Linked DNA regions of Tamandua tetradactyla. The protein of the gene in region 3 interacts with the protein of the main gene of each other region in a pairwise test. Links are inferred from orthologs where the notes say so. Each region holds a gene or a part of one and is shown on either strand. Other genes may lie near its edges.

The links.
Region 1: the proteins of MAX (region 3) and MXD4 interact in a two-hybrid assay, tested with the Homo sapiens proteins (2 studies listed by BioGRID). The link is inferred for Tamandua tetradactyla from reciprocal best matches to the Homo sapiens genes MAX and MXD4.
Region 2: the proteins of MAX (region 3) and MXD3 interact in a two-hybrid assay, tested with the Homo sapiens proteins (4 studies listed by BioGRID). The link is inferred for Tamandua tetradactyla from reciprocal best matches to the Homo sapiens genes MAX and MXD3.
Region 4: the proteins of MAX (region 3) and MGA interact in binary tests that used the Homo sapiens proteins (3 or more experiments, as listed by UniProt). The link is inferred for Tamandua tetradactyla from reciprocal best matches to the Homo sapiens genes MAX and MGA.

What each region holds. Positions count from the first base shown.
Region 1 is NC_135345.1:2,085,471-2,092,504, forward strand, and holds the start of MXD4 (max dimerization protein 4), read right to left. Parts: upstream 3,005-7,034; 5' UTR 2,943-3,004; coding exon 2,879-2,942; intron 2,795-2,878; coding exon 2,695-2,794; intron 58-2,694; coding exon 28-57; intron 1-27. UniProt on the Homo sapiens protein: Transcriptional repressor. Binds with MAX to form a sequence-specific DNA-binding protein complex which recognizes the core sequence 5'-CAC[GA]TG-3'.
Region 2 is NC_135346.1:59,027,193-59,034,230, forward strand, and holds the start of MXD3 (max dimerization protein 3), read right to left. Parts: upstream 3,005-7,038; 5' UTR 2,848-3,004; coding exon 2,778-2,847; intron 2,501-2,777; coding exon 2,395-2,500; intron 1,837-2,394; coding exon 1,807-1,836; intron 1,679-1,806; coding exon 1,564-1,678; intron 1-1,563. UniProt on the Homo sapiens protein: Transcriptional repressor. Binds with MAX to form a sequence-specific DNA-binding protein complex which recognizes the core sequence 5'-CAC[GA]TG-3'.
Region 3 is NC_135338.1:22,368,820-22,375,785, forward strand, and holds the start of MAX (protein max), read right to left. Parts: upstream 3,001-6,966; 5' UTR 2,702-3,000; coding exon 2,666-2,701; intron 1,937-2,665; coding exon 1,910-1,936; intron 1-1,909. UniProt on the Homo sapiens protein: Transcription regulator. Forms a sequence-specific DNA-binding protein complex with MYC or MAD which recognizes the core sequence 5'-CAC[GA]TG-3'. The MYC:MAX complex is a transcriptional activator, whereas the MAD:MAX complex is a repressor.
Region 4 is NC_135340.1:55,242,462-55,249,370, reverse strand, and holds the start of MGA (MAX gene-associated protein), read right to left. Parts: upstream 3,011-6,909; 5' UTR 2,934-3,010; intron 2,833-2,933; exon of another isoform or gene 2,659-2,832; coding exon of another isoform or gene 2,642-2,658; intron 2,151-2,641; exon of another isoform or gene 2,007-2,150; intron 1-2,006. UniProt on the Homo sapiens protein: Functions as a dual-specificity transcription factor, regulating the expression of both MAX-network and T-box family target genes. Functions as a repressor or an activator.

The DNA.
Region 1 (7,034 bases), on a different chromosome or scaffold from region 3:
TGGGGCTGGGGCTGGGAGGTCACTTACCTGTGCTTTTCCAGTTCATTGTGTGAAGACCTGCATAGAGACAGAAAGACGCCACTCACTGCACTGCCTGTCCCCGAGTGCAAGGAGGGGCAGGCGGGGGTGGGATAGGGGGAACCACAGAGGGCTGAGGCAGGGGGCGGCAATGAGGGCCAGGGCACCCAGAGCCACCCTGCTCTCTGGGTGAGGCCCTCCCAGGGTGTGGTGGGGGTGTGGGCGGGGAGGCCAGGGGCAGTGGTACCGATCACCCACGGCTCTCCGTAGCACCAGAGTGGGCCAGCACAAAGGGTTCCCTGCAGACTGGCCGGAGCCCTTCAGGACAGGGGCCCTCCAGAGGTGGGGGCCCCTGTGTGACTGAAGACCCCTGGTCCTACAGAGGCGCAGGCCTGGAATGCCCCCTCCCATCGGGCCACTTAGCTGGGGGCTGCAGTGGACAGTGTCACCAGGATGGCCCGGGACCCTTCCAGGCCAAGCACTGCCCCCCAGTGCCCTCCTGCCCGAGGCTCTGTCAGCTGCCACCTGCATTCTCTCCCACCCCAGCGTCTCCCATGGGCGCCCTCATGCCTCAATCTGTTCACACTGCCGCCTCCCCATTTGGGTACACCTGCCGCTTGGGCCTGGGCTCAGCTCACGGTCCCACCACGGTCCCATCACCAGTCGTGCGGGGCCGGGGGCTCAGGGCCTGCTGGTCACTCAGCTGGGAACAAGAAGGGGGTGCAGCAGGCTCCCCAATCACCCACCTGTAGGGGCAACCCTTAACCCAAAGCTTGGCTGCCTGGGAGCCATCCTGGAAACAGGGCACACTCCCCCAGCAGCCTGGGGGGTGGAGGGGGCCCCGAGCCCATCCTGGGGGGAGGTTCGGCATGCAGGTCCCTGAGCAGAGGTGTGTGAGGCCCAGGTGCTGGGACGTACTTCTGCAGGGGTCTGGGGCCAGGTGAACCACGTGGTCACTCCTCAGCCCCCCGAGGAAAGTGGTCTTCTCCTCGCCTTCCAGTGGAATGCAAGTCCCAGCAGGAAAGCTGGCTCAGCCCCCTCCTGCTAAGCCCCAAAGATGGCTCCTTAGCACCCCCGCTCCCCCCAACTATGACCGGACCCTGTCTCCTACTGCAGCAGGATGGGGAGCTGTACAGGCCTGTGGATGTCTGCGTGGTCAGGGCCCAGGGACCCCCTACTCTGCCCCAGCTCCCCATCTGGGGTCAGAACAGCCATAAGCACCCCCTGGGAAGGGAGTGTCCCTGTAAACCAGGCCCCCTGTAAGGGAGGTTTGCACAGGTGCAGGAGACCCTATGCTTCCTTCCCCCAATGCCTATCCCATCAGACAGGGAGGCCAGGACCACCCCGATGAGTCACCCAGAGCTGGCAGGGGAGGGGGTAGCCCTGCACCAGTAAGTCAGCTTCTTGGGGCCTCAGTTTCCTCCCCTCCTCCCTGAAGATTAAGAAACTGGGCATGTGAGACACTGTGAGCATAGGAAATGGTCAGGAAGCCTTGGTCGTGGCGCTGGACATCAGCTCTGGGTGCTCCACGCAGTGGGAGCCTGAGGTCCCAGCCCAGAGCTTTCCATGGGTGGCAGGACCTGGCCTGCTGTGGGGGGCTGGCTGTAGGGACACCCCCCATAGCCTCACCCTAACCATCCCAAGCAGGGGGATCGGGCCTGGACACACACCCCAGCTGGGGCAGCTGGAGAATGACCGAGCGCCCCCAGGGCCAGGACGTCACTCAAGACAGGTCCCAGTGCCAGCCTTCCTGTTTCCCAAGAACCAACAAACCACAGGAATGAGGCCCGCCTCAGCCAAGGGGCCCTGAAGCCCCTGCAAGCAGGGGTCTTGGCAGAACGGCAGGGGAGCAGCAGAGGCCAAAAGGGGCCCCTGGCAGGGCCAGGAGCGCCGAGCCCTGCCCCACAGTGACCCCTCCTTACCAGAATGCGAGCACCAGCTTTGGAGCTTCTGCAGCCCATGGAACAGGGCCAAAGGGACACAGCCCGAGACACAGGGGGTCACAGCCTGCCCCTCACCCCTCAGCTAACCCTGGTTCCCCACGAAGACCTCTTGACCCCCTGAAGTGCCCCCTGTACTGGTCTCTGGAGTTTGTCATGTTCACGAGGTTGCGTAGCCTGAGGTGGGCACCCCGGGAGGAGGCTGGGGCCCAGGGCAGGGTCGCCTTTGTTCGAGCATCAGAAGCACCAGGGCGCGGGGTCAGCTCAGCCCAGAGAGGGGCAGGCTCGGCCCTGGGTCAGGGAGGGGGGACGCGGCAGGATGCACCCACCCGCGGAGAGGGGGACCTTTGGGGTCAGGGCTGGCAGCCTCACCCTGCCCTCTGCGGAGCCTCAGTTTCCCCGCTGACAACTTTTTTCCCTCCCCGAGGAAGCGGAGAACGCGTCGGGGCGGGGAGCGGCCAGGACCCCGGCGGCGAGCGCTGTACGCGTGGCACTGTTTACGCGAGCGGCCGGGGAGGCGCGGCCGCGGGGAAGATGGCGACGGCGCGGGCGGGGCCGGCAGGCGGGGCAGCGCGGAGCCCGGGCGAGCGCCGCCTCCTCCAGGCTGGCCGCCGGGGCGCGCGGGGCGGCCGGGGCTGCGGGTCGAGGCTGGGCCGCGAGGGACGCGGGGTGCCGCCCGGGTCCAGCCAAGCTGGGGCGACCCCGACCCAGGGGGTCCGGCGGCGGGGGGCGGTACCTGTTGTTCGGGGCCTTGCGCACCAGGCCGGCCGCCTTTGTTTTCTTCCTGGCGAAGTCGCCGTCGAAGGGCAGCACCGAAGCGTAGCCGTGCTCGGCCTCTGCGGACAGACGGCGCGGTCATCGGAGCCCCCGGCCCCCCACCCCCCGCCGTCCGGAGCACAAAGGGGCGCGGTGCCGGCTACCTCGGTCCCTGCGCTCCAGGTACTCGGCCGCCTCCAGCAGCATCAGCAGGGAGTTCAGCTCCATCCTCTGTGCCCGCCCGCCGCGCTCCCGGACGGCGGCAGCCGCCCCCGGCCCGGCCCGGCCCCTCCCGGCCGGCCCCGCTCGCCGCCCGCCCGCCCGCGCGCCCCGCGGCACCGCTCCCCGAGCCCGCGGACTTCCAGCACGCCCGGCCGCCACCCTGCGCCTCGGGCCCCGCAAATTGACACATCAGGGCGAGCGGCGGCCGGCCGGGCCAATGAGGACTCGCGCTCCGACCTGGGGGGCGGGTGCCGAGGCGGGCCGCGGCCAATGGAAACCCGGCGAGCCCCTCGGGCAGGGGCCGAGAATGTTGACAGATCCGAAGCTCGGCTGCGATAGGCCGGCCACGGTAGTAACAATTTAGTAGCCCAAGCTTAGCAACAGCACGTGGTGGCTCGGCCCCCTCGCGCGCTGACTGGCGGCGGTCGTGCATGTTAAGTAGGCGCTGGGCACCGATTGGCTCAGAGGAGTCTATGTAAAATAGGGACCGCGGGCCAATGAGCGGCCGCGGGGCGCCGGCCAATGACGGGAGCTGCGGCCCGACGCGTTGTGGAGAGAAAGGGGAGCGTGCGGGGAGCCCGGCCCCGCCCCCAGGACCCGTTAGCCGCGGGGACCCGTGGGCCAGGCGCCGGGCCCCCTGCGCCCCGCCCGCCCGAGCTCTGCGCCCGCGGGGAAGCTGTTGAGCCCGGTCGGCGACAAACGCTGCGCTGCCAGGGGAGCTGGGGGTCGCGCGTGGGGCTGCAAAGCGAGCCCCCTCCCCGCCGGACAGACTGACGCCCAGGAAAGGCCCGGCGTGTGAGGAGGGGTACAGGGACCTCAAGGAAGAAACGGAGGCCCCGAGAGGGAGCGGCTGGCTCCGAGCTGCCCGAGGCGCCCTGGCTGGAGGAGGGGCCCGGGGCTGCCCCACGGTGCGGAGGGGCTTCCGCGACGCCGGGCTGCGGGCCTTACGGCTGCCCTGCAGGAAGCTCAGCACTGATCCACTCCGTGGGGAGCCTAGCGAGGGGAGCTGACCTCGCTGGGAGCGGCTGGACTCCTCCAGCTTCTGCCCGGCGGCCCGAGGGGGCTCGGACCCTGGGGCTGGCCCAGAGCTGGCGAGGAGAGGGAGCCTCCGCTCGCGGGGCAGCCTCAGACCTCGGGCGTGTCCGGGAGGGCACCTCTTGGCCGGGCGCCTCCGGCCCCCTCCGCTTCCCAGTGGCTTCTGTTTGAGGTCGGTGGCCTGGTGACCGAGGAGCGGGGCCGGCAGGCCTGGGGTCTGTGGACCGAGCTGCCTGCACCACCGCAGAAGTTCTCGATGGGGGAGTGTGGCAGCTGCTACCACCAGCAAATCGAATAAAGTGTAAAAACCTTATACTTTTGTAAATGCCATGTAGGCGTTTCCTGTGCATTTTCTCATCCCCAGCTCACATATGAGGAAATCGAGACTTCTGAGGAGGTTTAGTGACTTGGCCGGGGTCTCCTGGCAGCCCCCAGCAGATCCGAGAGCTTCCACAGGACTCCCCCCCCCCCCCCCCCGGCCGAGGGATGGCCCAGGTGCCTCGATACCAGAGCCCCCTCTTCGCCCAGCCCGGCTTGCTGGGGTCCGACCTGTGCAACCGGGATGGGAAGACCAGTTCCCGCGGGCGGGGGTGGGGGCATGAAGAGAACCCCTGTGGGTATTAACCTTGGCCCTTTGCACTTCTGCAACACCCCGCCCCGCCAGCATCTCAGGGCCCTGCCAGCAAGAGCTCCTCACTGGGGTCCTCCTGAGTAGCCCGGAGAGCTGCCCAGAGCCGAGCAGGGTAAAGGGGTCCCCAATTCTGGGAGTTAGGTGCATTCTGCGCCCTGGTGGGAAAGGTGCCCAGGGGAGGCAGGGTGCAGGACCCACCCTGGGGCCTGGGCTACAGAAGCTGCAGTGGTGGGCCCAGGTGGGCCACTGCCTGCCTGACCTCAGCCTAGGAGAGGGGGATCCCCTACGCTCTACCTAGGCCAGTTCGGACCCCCACCCCCAGCCACACCCAGGCCCGACCCTTCCTGATGCAGGCCCCAGCCTGCCTTGGTGTGAGGCTGGTGCTTGCACCAGGGAGAGCCGGCCAGCGGGACAGGCAGGACAGGGAGGCGGACGGGGGGGGGGGGGGGGGGGGGGGGAGGTGCGCAGCTCCCTGGGCACGTGTCCCGGAATACGGGGGCGGGCGGAGGCGCTGGGTGGGTAGGGGTCCTGTCAACTCCGCCTAACCTGAGCCCCTCTGTGAGCAGGTACATGACCGCTCCTCCTGGAAGCCCTCCCTGAATCCGGGCTGAGCCAGCGGCCCCCTCATCGCCCCCCATCCTTTTCCCAGACTGGTACCCCCTCTCCAGAGTAGGGACCTGCAGGACTGACTAGTCATGAGGTGCTGGAGAGGAGCATAGGCTCCTACCCGCACCCTGAGCCTCCGCCCACCCCCCTTCATGCAGGACCCAGGATCCCTCCACCATGCGGCCTTCCTGGACCCAGCACAGTTCTGGACTCGGCTCTGGCTTGTCCAAACTTCCTCACTACTCTTTGGGGGGAACCTACCCCTCATTCGGATTCTGGGTGGAAGGGCAGAGCTACTTCTCTGCCTGGACTTGCTGGGATTTCTGCCCTTGCCCCAGCCTCAGTTTTCCTAGCAATCTAACGGGGATGATGGTGCCTGCCCGAACAGGCGGCCTCAGGGTGGGATGCGGGTACCTGGCCCAGAGCTGGAAAAGGTTGTCCCCCCCTCCTCCCAGCACCCCAGGAGGGCAGCCAAGGTCCTAAGAAGAGACCTAGAGAAGGCTGCTTCCCAGCCTACCCACCCCGATAGGCCTGGCTCCCTTCCTCGGGACCCAGGATCCACCCCCCACCTGATGGGGAAACACGCCTAAGGCTCTTTGCAGTGCCCGGGACTTCAATGCTGCACCAGGGAGCAGCATCCCCCCACCCCACCCCTGGCTGTCCCTCTTCCAGAGTCTCCCACAGCCACCTGGCCTCAGACCCTGGCTCTGACAGCTCCCTTGGGGGCAGGAGTGCATCTGTGCGAGATGTACACAGCCAGAGGCTGCCAGGGTCATCGCCCAGCCCCCAGGACATTGGTCCCCAGCCCCCAGCCCTGTGGCCTCACTGTGTGCAAGACCAGCTCCTCCAAGGACCCAGGGGACCGCCAGACTGCTTTGCATCCTAGTCTGGCCACCAGGCCTTGGGCAAGTCGCCTGACCTCCCTGTGCCTCCATTTCCCTAGCTGGGGCATTTGGGTGTTGGAATGGGAGGATGCCTGGGGGGCCCTAAGCAGGGTGGGCTGGACACAGAGGGGGCCCAGGAAGTGGCAGGAAACCTGAGGATCAGCTCCGATCCAGCAGGAGCCTCCGCCCGGAGAGGCAGGGCCTATCAGGTCACAGTTGGTCAGTAGCGGAGCCATGGCCAGAGCCCAGGGTGGTGCAGCAGCCACCCCACCAGCCAGCCACGGCACCAGGCCAGGCCCCCGAGGTTTGGAGCACCGTCTCAAAAGTTTGACATGCAAAAAAAAATCGTCTCCAAAATACAAAAAGAAGATGGCAAAAATCAAAGTTAATGAAGATGCAATTAAACGTCCATATAACATAACGGTGCAGCATTGTTTATATTTATTTAAAATAATAAAATAAGCATATTAGTGAACAATTTGTGGGGCAGATTCTGCTCACTTGACCAAGGCTGCTCACTATTAGACAACTGTAAGTGAAATGATTAACTTGCAGACAAAAATGTCCCAAATCAAAACAACAAAATGTCCCCTCAAATTCTTTTCAGAATATTAGTGAATAAACTTGGAGAATTTCGTTGGTAATATAGACCATCAGGAGATAGAAATAGGGTAAGATATTGGGTAATTGGAGTTGAAGGGATACGGATTGTGCAACAGGACTGAATATAAAAACTCAGAAATGGACAACACAATACTACCTAACTGTAATACGATTATGTTAAAACACTGAATGAAGCTGAATGTGACAATGATAGAGGGAGGAGGGCTGGGGGCATAAATGAAAACAGAAAGAAAGCTAGACAATAAAGATTGAGATGGTATAATCTAGGAATGCCCAGAGTGTATGATGATAGTGACTAAATGTACAAATTTAAAAAAT
Region 2 (7,038 bases), on a different chromosome or scaffold from region 3:
AGATGAGACCAAAAAAGCAGATCAGTGGCAAGGCCTGGATTGCGAAGGACCTTGAATTTCACAGGAAATAAGGAACTGAGACTTGGTCCTATCAGGAGCCACTGATCCTGTGGATTTTCACTGGAGGATTTTCAGCTGGAAATGGATCTGTGCTGCCAAGCTCACGCTAGGGCAAAGTGAAGGACAGCCTGGTGGAGGCAAGAGGAAGCAGGGGCCCAGGAGGAGGCCCGTGTCAGTTCAGGAGAGGAGATAAAGGGACTTCGAGGAAAGAGAGAACCTGGGTCCTGCCCACGGTCCGCCCGGCACCTGACAGGCACACATCAGCCATCTGAGTGCCCGGCCAGGCAAGCTCCGTGTGAGACACTGAACCATGTTGCCTACCAAAGGGGAGAGGGGTCCCTGGCCCTGGAGTAGTCGGGGTTTGGAGTGCGTGAGGGAGTGAAGGGAGGTAGGGAGATGGAGGGCATTTCAGGTAGGGGAGAGGGGGCAGATGGTCACCTATGGTGGGTCACTAAGAGCAGGACAGGCTTGGGTGATGGAGACTCTGAACGGACACTACAACTGGGAGCTGCAGAAGGTGCCTAAGCAGGGAGAGAGGTCACAGACACTTCGGGATCACTTAAAGTCCAGAGCAAGCCATACATGATGGAGAGAGGCAAAAGTGGGACTTCAGCCCTTTAGTCCATTCCAGACCCCACTAGGGTACCACTCAGCCATAACGAGGGTATCGCTGGCACCTGTGAGACAGACTGACCGGTTCCCACTTATTTGCTCACTGGCACATCAGTGCCTGGCAGAGGTGGTGCTTCCTAAATACTTGTGGAAGGAAAGAATGCAAACCAGGGGCCCTAGGTCTGGGTCCTAAATCTGCCTCTCATCTGTTAGACCTGGCCCTTAACCTGGCTGTGCTTCCATTTCTTCCTCTGCCAGGATGGAAAAAGCCCTCTGTTGTTTCCAAGGCCCCTAGTAAAAATCCTGACATGTCTGGTACAGGCTGGGGCTTTAAGTCGGTAAACCCCAGTCCGGCCCACCAGGGGGCTTCGAGCTCAGCCCAGCGGGAGCCAGATCCTGGGAAGATACCTGCCTGGTGCTTTCTCTGCCCTTTCCCCTTCCTGGTCTCTGGGGCAGATGCCCAGAGTGCATCAGGACAAACTGTCCAGGGCAGGAAGCCTTGAAGGAAGGGGGCAGGGGAGAGGCCAGGGCCAATCCTCTACAATCCAAGGGACCCTTGTATCTGCCCGATCACAGTGCCTTTCAACAGCCACCGCCCACCCCCACCCCAGACAAAGGAGGAAACGGAAATCCAGAGAGACTGTGACTTGCCCAATGTCTCACAGCTAGGGTCTAAGTAAGAATAACAGTAATAACAACAGTTATCGTTTATTGCATGAACTCCTTTACGGTTCAGAACTACCCTCTGGGTCATTTTCTACTTTTCTTCACATTTAACAAGCGTGGTAACTTTAAGCACAGCTGGGCTCTGGCTTCAGGCGTCTCTGCCCAGTTCCACCCAGTCCCTCCATATTAGCCCCCTCCAGGTACCATGGCAAACTGGCTCCTTACCTGGATGTGCACCCTGGCACGGCGCAGCAGGCTCAGCGTGGTGTACCGGGCGCAGTCAGACCCTAGTGGCATCTGCTGCTTCAGCTGCTCTAGGCACCGCTTCAGCTGGGCCCTCCTGCAGGGGAAAGGGTCTGGAGGGCAGTGCCGACCCTGCCTTGCTGGCCGCAGGGACGGCAGGGGAAGGGAAGCCTGAGGGAGGAGTTCCTGGGGGACTTGTGCTGTCAGGGCAGGGCTGGGACTCACCTGCGCTTCTCCAGCTCGTTGTGCACAGACCTGCCAATGCCAGGGAGGATGGGATGAGGAGGCATCAGCTACTGCCCAACATCACCCGGTCCCAGGACCCCAGTGGCGCTAAACATCCCTATGGGGACTTTGTGCTGGCCTCTGGTACCAGAGCCCCCAAGCAGGAGTCAGGGGAGTTAGGGACATAAATGAGCCAAATGCTATGAGAGGCCTGTCCAGCTGTCAGGAAGGGCTTCCTGCACAGACATGACATTTGAGGTGGACCCAAGATAGAAATTTCCCAAGGCGGGTTTGTGGAAGGAGGAGCATTCAAATTGGAGGAAACAGCATGTGCAAAGATTTGAGGCAAGGAAAGCAAAGGAGGAAGCTCAAGAAATATTCCTTGAATGAATGGGAAGGATGTGAGCGTGTTTCCGATGTGGGGAATTGACAGGAAGAGGTAAAATGGTTAGGGATCTGCATGCCTCCGGGAACAGAGCACCTGGCCCAGAAGATGCAAGCGAGAGGGACGAAGCAAAGGGGACAGAGGAGGGGCCCCGAGAAGGACAGCGCCCATTCTCCCTCTCCGCCATCCCCGACCCTCCTCACCGCCCACTATCCAGCGCGCCAGGAGCTTCGAGGGTTCGCTTCCTCCTCCTATGGACGGGGCCTGGACTGCGGTGCGGGCACAGGGACGCGTAGCCATGCTCGGCCTCTGCCAGAAAGAGCCCCCGCCCGCGTCAAGCTGGGGCCGGTCCCCATGGGCGCCCCTGGCACGACAGGGCCAGGGAAGGGCCTTTGGCGCCTGGGCCATTTCCCACATTCATCCCTACCCGGCCGCTGGCGGACACCTCTCTATTTGAGGGCGGGGACGCCCCGGGTCTATTGCCCTAGTCAGAGTCATGCATCCTTTGCAATGGGAGCCAAGTCTAGTCCAGGCCCTTGTCAGCGATATCGCTGTCCCTGGGGTCCCGCCAAAGGTACTTCCTCACCTCTCTCACGCCGCTCCAGGTACTCGGCCGCCTGCAGCAGGACCTGGATGTTGCTGGCCACGGGTTCCATGCCGCTAATTGCTGGCTGCGGGCGGGCCTGGGGTGCTGGCCGGAGCAGCGTCCGCACCACTTTTGTTACAATGTAACTGACACGGTGCAACAAACACAGGCGCCCGGCCCCGCCCCCAGGACGCTCCGCCCAGTCCCCGCCCCCCAGGAACAACGGCCCGCCCCCAACGGGCCCGCCCACCCCGAGGCAGCCTCGGACCCTCGCGGGACACGGGAGTGGGAGGGGCGCGGGCTCCAGGCCTGACGCTTGGGTAGACTCCGGGCTAGCGGGGCTGCATCTGGCCTTCTTCCCTCAGGGACCCCGCGCCGGGACCCCAGGACCTCAGTTTCTAGCACCAAGTGGGTCGTGTTCTGAGCCGACAGTGGCCCTTCGGGGAGGGGGAGCCGCTGGCCCGACCTCTGCACGTGGGCGCCGCGGAGGTGGGACGGCTAGGTGCCGCTCGTTTATTTGTCGATTCCTTCCAGCGTCTCGCTGTCGTCATCTTCGGGGCGGGGCCGGGGAGCCTCTGAGGCGCTATTGGCTGGCGCGTGGCTCCGCCCTCTCCCGCCTCTGGTCAACAAATTCGGGCGGGAAAAGCAGCAGGTTTCAAATTTGAAAACCAGGGCGATGGGGGCGGGCTGAGCGGGGCGTGGGGCCGCAGTGCGCAGGCGCCGAGGCTGAGGTGCGCGGACCCAGCTGCTGCGCTGGGGGATCTGTCCGCAAGCCCGCCTGCATCTGGCTTCTCCTCGTCATCCGCGGGGAAGCTCTACGGGAACGTCGGAAGGGTAACAACTTCCCTGGCCCGGCCCCTGCCCGGGAAGCCCGCGAATTGGCTTTCTAGAGAGGCCTGGGATCTGGAGTCTACGGGGTTGCGTTTCTCTCCTGTCGCGGCAAACTCCTCAGCTGCGTGTGTCTCGGGATTGACCGCTAGTCTCCGAGCTCTGGAAGCCCCGGGACGGCGTCGAAGGTCGGAGCCGCTGCCTGTGCAGTGCCCAGCGCGGAGGGGCTGCTGCCGCGGGCTGCTTCCGCCCGGAGATTCCTGGGTGCCTTACTCGGAGTCTTCCTTGAACGTGATCTACTCCCTAGCCTTGGGAAGGAACATCAGCAGGCGTAGCCACGCCTGCTGGGGTCAGTGACAGAGTCTCAGGGTGGGGACAGAAGATGAAAGCAGCCGTGACAGGGTGGAGCGTTTACTACCCAGGCGTTGGCTGCGACTGCGGTCACAATAATCTGGAAAGGGGGGGTGGATGCTTTATAAAAACAGTCCTAGGTAAACACATGCCTCGTGCCAGACAGCTCCTTAAGTCCCTGTTAATAACCTTGGAGTTTCTCTGAGGGTCACTGACATGCTCAGCCCAGAACTCCAGCTTCGGACTGTCCACGCACCCTTCCACCCATTCATTTGCCAACTAAACATCTGCTGAGCACTTACTGGACACCAGGCACCGTACTGGGAGCTGGGGAATTAATGCAGCAATGGCCAAAACAAATGGGGGCCCAGCCTTTGCAGAGGTCACACTTGTCGGGGAGAGAGGCCATTATAGTAACCACACAAACCTCCAGTTGCAGCTTTGACGCAGCCTCAGCAGAAAAGAGGCAAGGCTGAGAGCACGTCCCCGGAAGTGTGGGACCAGGGAGGTGGGAGATTTTTCCAAATAGGTGTTATCAGTGTGTAGGAAGGATGTCAAAGAATTCTAGACATTGAAGTGGTTACGGAAGTGAATTTCCTTGTTCTTAGGAAATGTACTGGGAGGGAAGTATTATGTGTCCAAGGAACATGATGTGTACAACCTACTCTCAGATGTTTAGAGGACAGATACATGGATGGATGGATGAGATAGATAGATAGATAGATAGATAGACAGAATGATAAAGCATATGTGGCAAAAAAAATGTTGAAATTCATGGATCTTGGCATGTGTGGGAATATACTGAAGTTGGCTATATGGGTTTTGTATTATTTTTATTTTTCTATATTTTTAATTTTTAATTCTTGCAAGAAAGTATTTATGTTTCTAGTGTTAGTGGGATTATATATATACATATACAGCCCCTTTCAATCATGTTCACCTTCTATATGATATATTACTTATAGACCCACTAGAGAACCACCTTCACTCCTATCTATTTCCTTACATTGGAGTTCAACTTCATTAGCTAACCATTCACCCATCTCAAGCTTCTATGTATTTCTAAGACCCCTGTATTCTGTATTATAAGCCTCTGATTTTACCTTTACCATGCTTATAAAAGTGGAGTCATACAGTATCTACCCTTTTGTGTCTGACTTATTTCACTCAGCATTTACGTCTTCAAGGCTCATTCATCTTATCATGTGCTTCAGGACGTCATTTTGTCTTATTGCTACATAATATTCCATCTTATGCATATACCACTGTTTAAAATTATTTTTATAAGCATTTTTTATTAATTAAAGAAAAAAAAGAAATTAACACAACATTTAGAAATCATTCCATTCTACATATGCAATCAGTAATTCTTAACATCATCACATAGATGCATGATCATCATTTCTTAGTACATTTGCATCGATTTAGGAAAAGAACTAGCAAAACAACAGAAAAAGATATAGAATGTTAATATAGGGAAAAAAATAATAATAATAATAGTAAAAAAAAGACACAAATGAACAAACAGACAAACAACAACAAAAAAAACCTATAGCTCAGATGCAGCTTCATTCAGTGTTTTAACATGATTACTTTACAATTAGGTAGTATTGTGCTGTCCATTTTTGAGTTTTTGTATCTAGTCCTCTTGCACAGTCTGTATCCCTTCAGCTCCAATTACCCATTATCTTACCCTGTTTCTAACTCCTGCTGGACTCTGTTACCAATGACATATTCCAAGTTTATTCTCGAATGTCGGTTCACATCAGTGGGACCATACAGTATTTATCCTTTAGTTTTTGGCTAGATTCACTCAGCATAATGTTCTCTAGGTCCATCCATGTTATTACATGCTTCCTAAGTTTATCCTGTCTTAAAGCTGCATAATATTCCATCGTATGTATATACCACAGTTTGTTTAGCCACTCGTCTGTTGATGGACATTTCGGCTGTTTCCATCTCTTTGCAATTGTAAATAACGCTGCTATAAACATTGGTGTGCAAATGTCCATTTGTGTCTTTGCCCTTAAGTCCTTTGAGTAGATACCCAGCAATGGTATTGCTGGGTTGTATGGCAATTCTATATTCAGCTTTTTGAGGAACCGCCAAACTGCCTTCCACAGTGGTTGCACCATTTGACATTCCCACCAGCAGTGGATAAGTGTGCCTCTTTCTCCGCATCCTCTCCAGCACTTGTCATTTTCTGTTTTGTTGATAATGGCCATTCTGGTGGGTGTGAGATGATATCTCATTGTGGTTTTGATTTGCATTTCTCTAATGGCCAGGGACATTGAGCATCTCTTCATGTGCCTTTTGGCCATTTGTATTTCCTCTTCTGAGAGGTGTCTGTTCAAGTCTTTTTCCCATTTTGTAATTGGGTTGGCTATCTTTTTGTTGTTGAGTTAGACAATCTCTTTATAAATTCTGGATACTAGACCTTTATCTGATGTGTCGTTTCCAAATATTGTTTCCCATTGTGTAGGCTGTCTTTCTACTTTCTTGATGAAGTTCTTTGATGCACAAAAGTGTTTAATTTTGAGGAGCTCCCATTTCTTTCTTTCTTTCTTCAGTGCTCTTGCTTTAGGTTTAAGGTCCATAAAACCACCTCCAATTGTAAGTTTCATAAGATATCTCCCTACATTTTCCTCTAACCGCTTTATGGTCTTAGACGTAATGTTTAGATCTTTGACCCATTTTGAGTTAACTTTTGTATAGGGTGTGAGAGATGGGTCTTCTTTCATTCTTTTGCATATGGATATCCAGTTCTCTAGGTACCATTTATTGAAGAGACTGTTCTGTCCCAGGTGACTTGGCTTGACTGCCTTATCAAAGATCAAATGTCCATAGATGAGAGGGTCTATATCTGAGCACTCTATTTGATTCCGTTGGTCGATATATCTATCTTTATGCCAATACCATGCTGTTTTGACCACTGTGGCTTCATAATATGCCTTAAAGTCAGGCAGCGCGAGACCTCCAGCTTCGTTTTTTTTCCTCAAGATACTTTTAGCAATTCGGGGCACCCTGCCCTTCCAGATAAATTTGCTTATTGGTTTTTCTATTTCTGAAAAGTAAGTTGTTG
Region 3 (6,966 bases):
ACATGTCTGCTTTTTCTCCATGCTGTTGTGATGATCTTGTGACAGGTAATATTTAAAAGGGAAAACTCTTAGGTCACCTTAACACCAAATTAAAACATCTAGGCAAAATGAAGATTAGCATTCTATGGAAAACATTTCAGTAACTTCATATACCAGTTTACATCAAAGCCTATGAGGATGAATACTATAAAAAGAGGAAAGTTCTCAAGAAGTGTAAGTTGAAATCTCACCAAGAAAACTTTATTCTCACTAGAAAGCCAAAAAATTCCAATTCAAAGGATGAATCTGCGCAAGAGGGCTTATGAGAGCTCTATCCAATCACTACTTTCTGACCCTAATCAGGCCCTGAGGTAGCTCTTACAATAATTATGAAGAAAAAAAAATATTTTAAATAGAATTGTCCACATTATTAAGAAGAATAATTGAAAACAAGGAATACAATTTTCAAATTCTATTTCATGTATAAATAGATGTTTGTGACAAAGCTTCAAAGAAAAATAAAGCAAAACAAATTTTTTTTAGTGACTATTACCCAGGAACAATTTTTAGGACTTCTGGAACAACTGCATCCTTAGATCTTAAGGAACTATCAGCTCTCAATAAATAAAATTTTTCCTAATGCCCCTCTGCTTAGACCATCTGCAAGATCTGTTTGCTCTAATGAAGAGCTGGTACACGTAAGAATGCTTTCCTTTATTCTGTGGTTATTAAATTCATATACCACTGGTACCAAAAGGGCCTCCTGCAAACCCTAACCAGCCCCAAACAGCTTGACTGTTCCACACACATCATTTTAAAAATCAGAGAAACAGCATAAAAGTACAGATCTCCAATATTTCTTGAAATACAGGAAAATCTGGCAACACTAAACCCTTATCCCACATGGTAAAAATCTACTGGAAGTGAGTAGTAGCACCGTTTTAGGAGAGGTATGTGCTCCACTATTCCCCTCTTTCTACCACTTTATCCTGACCATCTCACTGCCTGACTCCCACAGGCATTTCTATACACTTCTTATTGTTCCCTACTTTTAATTAGATTTTGTTATCCTTATTTCTCTTCCCCTCTCTGATTCTGATTTGTTTTTGTCTATTTCCTTTTTTCTTTCTCTAATCTATTCATAGAATATCCACAGTACTGTCTCATTCTCCAACGTGAGAGTACTGTCTATCTAAATTTACAGAACTGAGAACATAAATATCAAAGCCCTGAGAAATTATTGATAATACTTTGTGTGGTCTCATCCATCACCTCTTAGCAAACCTTTCTCCCCAATACCACCTCTCTTCAACAATTTTGGTATTTTCTTTATACCTTTCCTTCAACTAAAATATAAAAAGAGTTAGACCACAATCAACTATATGTGCCACTTTCATACTCAAGCTTTAGCTCTTTTAAGAACACTGCCAATTTGTATCATGCTGTGCTAAATCCTATGAGTCTGTAACAGTCACATGACTTAAGGTAACTTGCATGTGGCTTCAGCTTCATACAACTCTACAGATATAGTTTTGCATACTACTTATTCTAAGTAAATCTTCTGACCACATTCCCCTGAAATAATCCTACAATTTACTTCAGAATGCTGAAAGCAGTGTTTCTCATTTCCAACTTACATTCTGTCAACTAAACCCTCTATGTGAAAGCTACAGAAAGAATTCCTTTCTTTGCATACAGCTGCTCCCACTCACCTACAGTCACTGGAACCTATTACCTGAGAATCTAGAATTAAGAGATTTGCAACCTCCCCCCACATTCAGAACCCCAGAACAAGGCCCCACCTCACCTTAGTGGTTAACAGGAGAGGCTACTTAAATATTAAAAGTAATAGAACGATATTTTTCTCTCTAACCCCAAAAGGATTAGAACTGAACGGAAATGAAAATGAAATGGAGAGTAGGAGACGTACCGCAGATTGAAACCTCGGTTGCTCTTCCTGGAATAAGAGAGAAAAAAATAGAAAATAAAGAAGTTATTTTTACACTTCACATTCAATAATAAGAAAGAAAATGCCGGCGGCAGAGGAAGCGGCGGGTGGGGAGTCAGTCCGACCCCCCTTCCCCCCCCCCACGTTCCCCTCCCCAATCAGCGGGATCCGGTAGTGGGGCCGGGGGAGTCCCGAGCACCGCCCCTCCTTCCGGGATCCAACCTGGGTCGGGGGGGGGGGGGAGCGGTCCTGAGCACTTTCTCCTTCCCTGGACCCAGCTCGGGGCATCTGGGCACTCCCAACCCCTCTCCGCCCTCCCTCATTCTCCAGGATCCGAGGGTCACGAGGAAGGGATCGCAGACCGAGGGTGCAGGTCTTGAGCGCCGTGCTCTTCCCCAGGATCGGGACAATAGGATCCTAGGAGCACCCCATCCCTGTTCCCTGGATCCTGAACCAGATAGGTTGGGAGCGGGCGGCCGTAGCACCCTCATCCACGAGGGGAGGTGGGGGTCCCAGACGCCGCGTGTCTACCTTCCCATCTCTAGTCCCAAGAGGCCTCTCCGGCCAGGAGCCTTAAGAGGAGTGAGCCCAGAGCGCGACAGAAGCGGTCCCGGCCCGGAAGGGAAGGTAAAGGAGGAGGCGGCGGCCCGACCCCCTCCCGCCGTCGCCCGGCTGAAAGCCCCGGTTGCTGTCCCCGCCTGACAACCCGCCCGGGAAGGAAGAAACCCCGGGACTCACGTCGCTCTCCACCTCGATGTCATCGTTATCGCTCATTTCCTACGGCCCAGGGAGCGGCCACTGCAGCGGCGGCGGGGAAGGGGGAGGGGTGGAGGGGAGGGGGAAGTCACCGACAACAACAAGCCGAGTCCCCCCACACACACACACAACACACACACACTCACACTCACTCACTCACTCGCTCTCTCTCTCACATACACGCACACACACACACACACACACAACACGGGCGAGAACCACCTCCTCACTGCAGCACCAGATCAACGGCGGCACGCACGCCCGGTCGGCCCCCTGCCACGTGACCGAGCTCGTCACGTCTGGGCCGCCGCGACTTGTAGTTCTCGTCCCTTTGACTGACCCCCCCAGCCGGCGCCAGAAAGACTACAAATCCCGTCAGGCACTGCATGAAGTCGACGCCAGCCCGGCTTGTTGATGGGGCCCAGAGCGCCTGCGTGTCCCGTTGAGGGGGCGGAGAGAGAAGCGGCGCGGTGCCTGCTGGGAGTCGTAGTCCACAGACCGCGAGTTGTCAGGAGGGTTCCTCCCAAGGCAGCAGAGGAGGCTTCTGGGAAGTGAGGACACGTGGAGGGGTCGAGGGTTGCTGGAGCTGGGCGCCGTCTGAGTTCAGGGCGCCGGGTCCAGGGAACACCGTGGAGGTGCTTGAGGAAAAGCCGGCTCCTCAAATCACGCTGCCTCTCCTTGGTGCGACTTATTTTACTTGTCTTGATATCTGGGGCGTAACCCGCCTGCTTAGGGAATCCTGCTGCTGTGGGCTAGGCGGCGCGATTTCGGACGCCCACGCTGATTCCAAGATGCGGCTGTGGAGAGGAGCTGTCAATGGAAGGTCTTAAGTGGTGCTATAGGGACGGGCAGGATGACTGCTTAGCCTTGGGACTGCTTGCAGCCACGGGAATCTTGTAGTCATCCATCCAGGAATGACCATTCTTTTTATTCACGTGAGGCTCATACATTCAGACCTCCGACTCTCAACAATTGTTTCCATGGAAGTAAAAGCCCCTTTTGAGTTTGTTATAGTCAGGCAGTTTAGGGAGTGCCCAGTTAAGAATTTCAAAACCATTTAAAATCATATTTAAATGTGTGCGAGGTGTGATCACATCCATCCCACCAGTAATTTATTAAACACCTAACACGTGCCAGCATGGGAATGCCATAATATTAAAGACCGGAACGATCTTTATAATGCCGCTCACAGATGTGGAAACAAAAATGAGACTGCCTTGCCACCATTGTAAAGAGGAAGAAAAAAACAATTTGGAAAGACACTTTCCACCCTGAGATAAGCAAAATTACCGAACTACTCTTGTACATAGATCTCCAAAATGAATAAAATTTTGAGCATTTCCCATAGATTATTAATTATCTAATAAAAACCATTTTACCCTTGACCTTTGAATGTGAGACTCAGGCTCCCCATGCGAGCGTATCATCCATGCTGAAAAGGCAAATGTCAATGTGGCAATTTCTCCTTTACACTTCCTTTATCTATCGTATTTCTTGTTCAATGATCCATTCTACTGAAGTCTGCATATCATTTACAAGTAAACTTAGTTTTTCTTAATGCTTTTGTCTTCCTTTCACACTGTATTCCTTGCACAACTCTTAAGGGAGACAGGCATAAGTAGACCATTATGTGGTAAGAGCTGATAAAAAAGATAGCTCTTGGGTGAGTTAATTAAATTTTGGAAGCTAGGACTAATTGAAGGTGACAACAAATCACTTTCGGGTCTCTGCTATGTGCAAGCACTATAGGGCAGTGATTCTTAACCCTTGTACCGTGACAATCTGCTAAAATCACCCCAAGAGCTTTTAAATATCCCCATGGCCAGGCCATGCTCCAAGTTAATTAAGTCAGCTTTTGGGTGTTTCCAGTGTTACCTCTCAGCCTGAGAACCTCTGCTATAGAGGGTGCCAAGACAAATAAGATGGTCTTCCACTGAATCATACTTTTTTTTTTTATAGGTGCACGGTCCAGGAATCAAATCCGTGTCTCCCGCATGGAAGGCGAGCGTTCTACCACTGAACCACCCATGCACCCTGAATCATACACTTTTAAAGCACAAATTTTATAGTATGTAAATTATGTCACTAAATCTATTAATAAAAAAATAAAATAGTTTTGCCCTCCTGGAATTTAAAACTTGATAGGGAAATAAATTATGAACAGCTGTTGCAATGAAGACATTATTTAAGTGCCAAATTAGTGAACTGGGTAGTGAATGCCGTACTTTCTCAGAGGATGGAGAAATACTCCCAGATCTGGAGTGAGAGTGGGAAGTTCTGGATGGTCAGGGAGGTTTTAGGCTGTCAGACAGTTCCATCAGAGCAAGAACTGGGTTCTCAGAGACTGGATCACATTTTTCTCACCATTGAATCCCTATTTGATGGGTGGATGCTTGGGGTTAGGAAGAGCTGAGGAGGAAAGACTTTCCAGGTAGAGAGACTGGAGATTTGAACATATCTCCTTTTTAGTAATTGGTTTAAAATATGAAGACTTGTCAACCTGATTAATAGATTTGACTTAATAGGCATAAAACTTGGCATCCAAACAATTGTAGAATTTATTCTTTTTAAATACTCATGGACTATTTACAAAAATTGACAAGTCATAAAGCAAATCTTAAGTTTCAAAGGTCTGCGATCTTAGCATGTTTTCAGACCTAATGCACTTAAACTAGAAATAACGAAAACAACAATAAACTAGAAAACCTTCATAAGATTGGAAATTAAGAAACACTTTTAAATTCCTCTGTTGGAGGGACTTTCATGAGCAAGGCACATATGCGGGAAGACATTAGAAGTAAGAATACAGAGAAGTTTCCTTTGGTTTTCCCTTTCAGTGTTTTTCTGATGTGAATAATAATGTAGAACTCTAAGGATGCATTTTCATCTCTGCACACTTGAATTTCTTTGGTGATGCTCTATGGGAGCTTATCAAGACTGGAGCTTGTCACTGGATAGATAGCCCAGTTTCCCTAGTCCCTTGCTACTTCAAATGTGGTCTATGGACCAGCTAGTTAGAAATGCAGAACCTTAGGCTCCATCCCAGATCTCCTACATCAAATCTGCATTTTAATAAAATGCTCAGGTGATCCATATGCACTGTCTTTGTTTCCTGGCTGTTAAGAAAAATACCACACAAGGGCTGGTTTAACAACAGGAATTTATTATCTCTCATTTGGAGACTGGGAAGTCTTGCTTCCTCCTGGGGTGGTAGCGTTCTGGTGGTGGCAATCCTTGGGTTCCTTGGCTTTTGTGTCACATGTGATGTCCTCTCCTTTCTTTTCTGCTTCCATTGACTTTTGGCATCTGGCTCCTCTCTGTGTTTTTCTCTACTTCTGAATTTCATTCTGCCTTTAATGAACTACAATAATCAGGATTAAGGCCAGCCTCATTCAGTTGGGCCACACCCTAAATAAAATAACATTTTCAAGAGATGCTATTTACAGTGGGTTCACACCCACAGGAATGCAGATCATGCCCAAGAACATGTCTAAGTTGTGGTCCGTAATTCAATGGACCAGATACAGATTAGAGTTCAACTAGCTCTGACGTGGGAAGAGGGGGGCACTGAGTGTGGGGGACGGAGAAACTGCCTTCATTTTCTCCTCAGCTGTTTTACAATTTGACTTCCATCTATCACTTAACTAAAATTGCTCTTATCCAGGCCAACAGCTACCTCTTTATTGCTAAATCCAAAGCCCTTATCTTATTTGACCTAATGGTGGCCTTTTACAATGTTGACCACTCCTTTTTCTTTTTTTTTTCGTTTCTTTTTCTTGAAGGCCAATAACTCTCTTGCTTCTCTCCTTGGCTGCTCTGGTTCCCATCCTCTGGTTCTTCTTGCCCTGTCAGTGGCGAGTTCCAGGGGCTCTATGGCTGGCCCTTACCTCTTCTCCTCTGACCCTCTGCCTGGTAGGATCTGCCTCCTGAGGCATTGATAACCATCTCTCATGTGGTGACCCCAAGCTGTTTTGCTCTCTTAAATTCTAGTTTGTTATATTCAATTTATTTCTGGATATATCTCCTTGGGTTACTCGATCAACAACTCAAAAGTCAAGACTTAATGAGTGAAGAAAAGCAGGTTTTGACACAATATTTGGAGGATGATCTATTCACAGAAAATTGAACATATATATATGAGTATATATGTATGTGTAGAGAGATGTTAGTAAAAGGATATTCAACAAAAATACTAATAGTAATTATCTCTGGGAAATGTGATTTCCTTCCTTCCTTCCTTCCTTCCTTCCTTCCTTCCTTCCTTCCTTCCTTCCTTCCTTCCT
Region 4 (6,909 bases), on a different chromosome or scaffold from region 3:
CCTAGCACATAGTAAGCCTTCAATAAGTTAAATGAATACTGAATGAATAAATCTGTCCTTTAACTTTATGGTGTTTCTGCCAACTACAGGTTGCTTTACGTAATAACTATCAATATTTGCCTTCATAGATTCTACCTCTGTAGCCATGTTAAACAGTTCATCCTATTTCAAGATCGGAAACTGTTAACCGTTTTTTTTTTCTTTATTTTATTTATTCATTTTTTTTTTTTGGCATGGGCAGGCTCCAGGAATCATACCGGGTCTCCAGCATGGCAGGTGAAGATTCTGCTCACCCATTTTTTGAGTCATAATTTTCTGACTCTGTATTATCCAAGTGTTTGGCCAATTGTTCCAATATAACTTTGGAATATTTTCCCACTAATTTAAAATGCCACCATTATTATACTAAATAACATTATATAGTTCTAGATTATTCTTCTTTTCTACTTTCCTTGTCTATTTCAGGCCTACTACCTATTGTTTTAATTACCATAACTTTATTGGCATTTCACAAGTCCCAGGAAATGCCAATAAAGTCCCAGGACTTGCGAAATGCCAATAAAGTTATGGTAATACCAGAAAAGACTGCCCGTGCCAAAATAAAGAAAGAAAGAAAGAAAATAAAGAAAAAAAAACCGTTAACAGTTTCCGATCTTGAAATAGGATGAACTGTTTAACATGGCTACAGAGGTAGACTCTATGAAGGCAAATATTGATAGTTATTACATAAAACAACCTGTAGTTGGCAGAAACACCGTAAAGTTAAAGGACAAATCTATTCATTTAACTTATTAATTGAGTGCTTACTATGTGCCAGGCAGTATTTTGGTTGTATGGAATCCAGTGATAATTGGATAATCCAGAACCTAATTATTCTCTTTCAAAGTTTTGTCTACTTTACAGGTTATTGCTCCAAATGAATTTAAGAATCATTACTTTAAGTTTCCAAAAGGAATTCAGGTTGGAATTATGTAAAATTACCAGCCACATGACTTCTGAAAATTACTTAATCTCTCTGTGGCTATTTCCTTCATTAATAAAATGGAGATAATAGTACTTACTGCATAGGTTTGTTACATGAACTAAATGAATTTTAAAAAAATAAAGCACTAAAAAAAATAAAAAGTAAACTACTTAGAACATTACGCTGAGAAGATGTTAACTATTCTTATGAACTATTTAACATGGTGGCTGTTCTTACTGATTTGTCCAATGTTTTACAGATTGTTATTCCACAAAATTCAAAGATTCTTTAAGGTAAATCAAAAGGCCACCATCACACACAAGCAGTAATAGGAAAAATACATCACTTATGACTGCTTCATTTCACCAAGGCCTTGGCCCTTGGTCAAATGAAGAGCTGGAGGTAAGAGCAGAGAATCATGAAAAACACCAAAGAAAGACTGGTGGCACAAAGCCCAAAAAACTTTACAAAGATTGGCCCACCAAGTGGAGAAGACTTCTAGGCCCTTCCAGTAGACCTAAATGAGTATTAACAAGTCCCTTCTAACCACCACTGTTTCCCCATCTCGACAGTTATACTTACCAACCTTAATTTCTTCCCAGAATACACATAGGGACCAGCTGTCTAAATGGCAGAATATTTTTCAAACGTGACAGGGGGCAGGAACAGATTACAAATGCAATTGATAAAGATGGATACCATTCTGAGAAATTCTATAATAAATTACTTCCAACAGGTTTTCCACATCACTGTCCTGTTTTGTTTTCGTTTTTGGGGGGGAAGAAAGTGCAGGAAGTTCAGTTGCGGTTTTTTCCTTGGGGGACGGGAGAGCCGGACCTGTCTCATTAATAACTGTTAATAATTTGATTACCCTGCATGAAATTGGTATTACCTAGAGATCAAAGGTCCAACACATTATAGATATGTAGGGCCTTAATCTCATCTACAGACATAAACTATAAAAGAGGAAACACTAGCCAAGACTGACAATGTACTTGCTAATTACACAATTAGCCAAAGGTCTAAAACTCAAATCTCTTACTTCCCAGTCCACGGTTTTTGCCATCACACCCACAACCGCTTCTCCCAGACTCTTGCCACGCTTTGAGGTGGGAGGAGTCACAAGAAAATCTGGCCACAGCAAAGCCGCTCCAGAACCACAGGACGGCACAGCCGACGGCACGTGACTAGCCACTCCCCTTCCCTCCCACCCTCCCCCTTCCCCGCGCCAGCAGCACGCGCTGCCAACCCCGTCATGTGACCTTCACGCGGCCCCGGCGCTCCCCCTGCTAGGCGACTCTGTCTCGCAGCCATTTTGCCGAGAACTTATCGTTCGTGCTCACAGCGGAACAGGACCATACGAAAACCCACGGCCAGATTTCACAGGCCGCATACGCGCTTCGAAAACAGCGCTTGGGCCCGTCACCGCTTAGTCTAAGCTCGCTGAACACGTCGCACCCCGGGGCGCCGGAGAAGCAGCGGGTGCGCCTCAGCCTGCGATTGGCTTATGGTGCTCACGTGACGCCATAGCGCTCTCCCCCCACACACACACACACACTCTCCTTACCCCCTACCCACAAAAAATACCCACAGACTCGTAACACCTCGCGCCAAGTACACGCCACTGGGCGCGTGAGAACTGACGAAGCGCGTGGCAACCAAAGCGCCTGCGCGTACCTGACAGGGCAGACCATAGCCAGCCCACGCGCCGCTCCGCTCACGGGTCCGGGAATCCTCGCGCTGCCGTACCACAGGGCTAATCATTGGCTGCCAGATTTGGTCACGTGCTAATCCCAGGCCCGCCCCTAACCGCTAATCACCTGGCACCGCATTCGAAGCAGCGGGGAAAGTCTTTCACACGCGGAAAGGGTGGGTAGTAACAGGACCTTCTTTTCAGGCCTTATGGAGTTAAAGCCATAAAGGCGAAAGGAGGAAGCAGGGTCTCAAAAGTAAATAAGGTCACACCTACCGGCTTAACCTCGCATACCCCTCCAGGAGCTGAGGATCATCGCCCTTGGGCGCCCCCGATGCACGCCGGGATATATCTGGCGCCCCTCAGTATGCTGCAGAGCATGCCGGGAAAGGCACCTCTCCCGATTTCCTGGCTCTCACCTCTGGGTCTTTCTTTTCAGGTCCCCTTGAGAGCCCCGTCTATGAGCTCTGAATGAGGCTGTGTGGGTAATTATCGGCGTGTGGCTTGCTATTAACAAGCACTTTCGATACCCCTCCCCGACTTGGTCCATCTGTGTGGTCTTAGGGAAACCTCTTAACCTCTCACGGAGCATGCATTTAATAAGTGCCTTGTGAGTGCCTTTGTGAATATTGCAAAAACTTGAGCAAGGGTATTTGCCTACAAGTAAACTACCAACCTTTCATGGTCAGTGGGAAAGTATCCTACTTTAGATAAAACTTACAAGCCCCGCTTGGAAGAGGAAATATAGTTATATTATTGGGATTAGAAAAGCAGACCTTGCTTGGTTATATATTGCTATAATTGCGCAGGAAGCGGAGGGCATTTTAAAGTGGCCAGGGACGTGGGCCTGTTACACATTCTGGTTCCACTTAACACCAGCCAAATATTGGAACCGAGATAAACACACCCTCTGATAACGCTGAGAAAGGGGGTCTTACATTTAAAAAAAAAAAAATCGTTTTGTAAATTGTATTAACAAACTGAGCTCGGGCCAAAACCTAATATTCTACTCCCCAAGAGCCCACATTTATAATAATTCATACCTCTTCTGCTTTGCACTCCATTCTCAGCTTTGCTGATTGCAAAACTTTGTATTGTCAATTTACAAAATTGAATTGTCAAAATATGGGGAATTTGAATAGCACTGGTCAAGAGCTCCCACTTATAGACAAGAAGATGTAATAATTTATAATGTGGTTAACAAGCCACAGCTCACAGTATTACCAATCACAGCACCCTTTCCTGGTTTTAAGGTACTGTATAAGCCTAGTTATCAGAAAATTGTTTCCTGACTATAAGATCAGAAGGAAGGGACTGAGTTATCATATATAATACAATCATTAAATCATAAGCATAGTCATGTTAAAGTTTATAAAAACACCAAAATACTTCATTACATTTAATCCTAACAGAAAGTGAGAGAAAAGTACTATATTACCATCTTTGAATGGGGATCTGGAAAATTTATTTTAGTGTGTTCTCCTGGCAACTGTGATGCACAACTAGGTTTGAGAACTACTGGCTATAGTGAAAAGAGATCAGGCCTTGAAGTCAACAGATCTATGGTCAACTTGCAGTTCTGTATTTACTATACTATGACATTAAACAGGTTTTCAGACTTTTTGATGTTCAGTTCCTTTAAGTACATATTGGGGCCAATCATACCTACTCTTTGGATTGTCATGATTCTAATGTAAAAATATAAAAACACCTAGGACAATATCTGATAGCAGGCACTCTATAAACATGAGTACTAGTTAGTGGCAAAGGCTATATTTAAACCAGTATCCCATACTCTCTCCAATGCAGCACTCTTGAATGCTTTTTTTCCATTATTCTGTTTCTCCCCTAGACAGTGCTAGAGGCATGCTGACAGATTCGTACATGGCAGATCTTTTTTAGACTCCATAGTGACTTCTGCCCATCTGTTGGTACATATCTTTGCAGTATCTCCCTCCTTCACTTCAAGTTTTTTTTCCTTAACGTGTTAAGAAGCTGAACTGTAGACATTATTGCAGTGAAATAATGATGACACATAAGTGCTTAGAAGGTGGAGGGTGCATCTGTGCCCACACTTCAAAGAGTTTTAAATTGTTAATATTTACCTACTTTGGAGTAAAGAGGCCCTGGAAACTCATTTTTGCCTTTATTGTATAACTCAGTGTTTCAGATGCTGCATCCCAGTCTCCTTCCAATGGTTCCTTTTCCTCTCCTAGTTTCATGAAACATTCCTAACAAACAGAGTTTGGCTTGCACAGAGCTTCTCTCGAAAGCACTACCCTTGGTGTGGCAGTTTGAAAATACTATGTACCCCAGAAAAGCCATGTTTTAATCCTGATTCAATCTTGTGGAGGCAGCCATTTCTTTTAATCCTTATTGAATACTGTAGGATGGAAATTGTTTATTAAATTGTCTCCACGGAGAGGTGACATACCCAATTGTGGGTGTGACTTTTTGATTAGATGGAGATGTGACTCCACCTATTCCAGGTGGGTCTTGATTAGTTTACTGGAATCCTTTAAAAGAGGAAACATTTTGGGGGGAGTCAGAAACGACAGAAGCCACAGAGCCCAGAACTGACACAGATGCCCACACTTGAAAAGAGACACGGATGTTTGAGATGCTTGGAGCCCAGCAGATGCTGCCATGAAATGTTAAGCAAGCCAGAACCTGGAGAGAGCCAAGGGAAGACAAGAGGTGAAAGCCAGTCCAAGAGAAGTAAAGAGAGGAACCTCCACAGGATCAGAGGCTGAAGGCATTGGAGCCCAGGAGCAAGGGACCAGCAGGTGCCAGCCACGTAACTGCCCAGCTGACAGAGCTGTTCCCGGCACATCCGCCTCTTTTTTTTTTTTTTTTAACATGTGCAGGTACCAGGAATCGAACCTGGGTCCTCAGGCTTGGCAGGAAAGCATTCTTACCTACTGAGCCACCGTGGCCCGCCCACACATCAGCCTTTCTTAAGTGAAGGTAACCTCTTATTGGTGCCTTATTTGGATACTTGCACTTCCTTAGAGCTATAAACTTGTAACTTATTAAATTCCCCTTTTTAAAAAGCCGTTCTACACTGAAAGATCAAAATAGAAATGTTAGCGTTTATTTGGTGTTCTTTTCGTATTTAAAAAAATAAAATTGAAAAAAAAAAAAAAAAGCCGTTCTAGAACGCCACAGAACCACGAAACAGAGTCCACCAGCCAGCAGGTTTTGGAGCTGAAGAAGGATAATGCCTCCTGGGGAGCGTCATGAAACAAGAAGCCAGAAGAGAATGCTAGCAGATTTTGCCATGTGCCCTACCAGCCGAGTGAGAAACCCTGAACGTCATCGGTCTTCTTGAACCATGATCCGTATGAATGGGACCATTGCCAGCCTGACTAAAAAGTACAGAAAAGGGGCAAATTGAAGAAAAAATGAATTCAGACACAGAACCATGGAAGCTGAGGCATCTTCTCATGTGAAGAGAGTGGACCCACCCAAAATGTGGAAATGGAGTCCTTTATAACAGGATAAAAGACAAAAAGAAGACACTTAAAGAAAGACCCCTAGAGAATCTGAGTGAGAGGAGCCAGAGAAGGTGGGAAAGAAGCTCACAGAGGGGGCAGCCAGAAGTTGAAAGCAAGGAAACCAAAGAGAGAAGGACAAGCAGATGTCAGTCACCATGTGTTTTGCTTTCTGACAGAGAAGCCCCAGATTGCCAGCAGCTTTTATTCAGGTAGAAGGTATCATCCCGTTAATGCTTTGATTTAGACATTTTCATGTCTGAGAACTGTAAACTTGTAACATATTAAACTGATTGTTAAAAGTAAAAAAAAAAAAAAAAGCCATTCTAGTTGTGGTATATCACATTCTGACAGTTTTCAAAGTAAGACACTTGTCTTAAGGTTCTAAAATTCCACTGACAGTTCATCCCAGGAAGGCTAGCTAGTCAGAGCCTAAATCATATTAACCATATTCACAATTTTGTTAATTTCGTGGGACTCCGGAAAAAAAACAAAAGTCCAGGAAGTACACATAGCAATGTTTTTTTGAATGTGTCCTATACATAACACCTGTGGATTTGGAGTTCTATTTTCAAACACAGAAAATGGTATGCCACCTCCCATCCTTTGCCTGAGTTTTGCTTCTGTCGCTAATGTTGCATAAGAAAAATATTAATCTGAGAAAAAACTTGGGTTCTTTCCTCCTGACTCAATTCCTAACCCGATGAATGATTTGGACAAGTTTTAACTCCTCTGGGTCATGGTTTGTAGGTAAATGG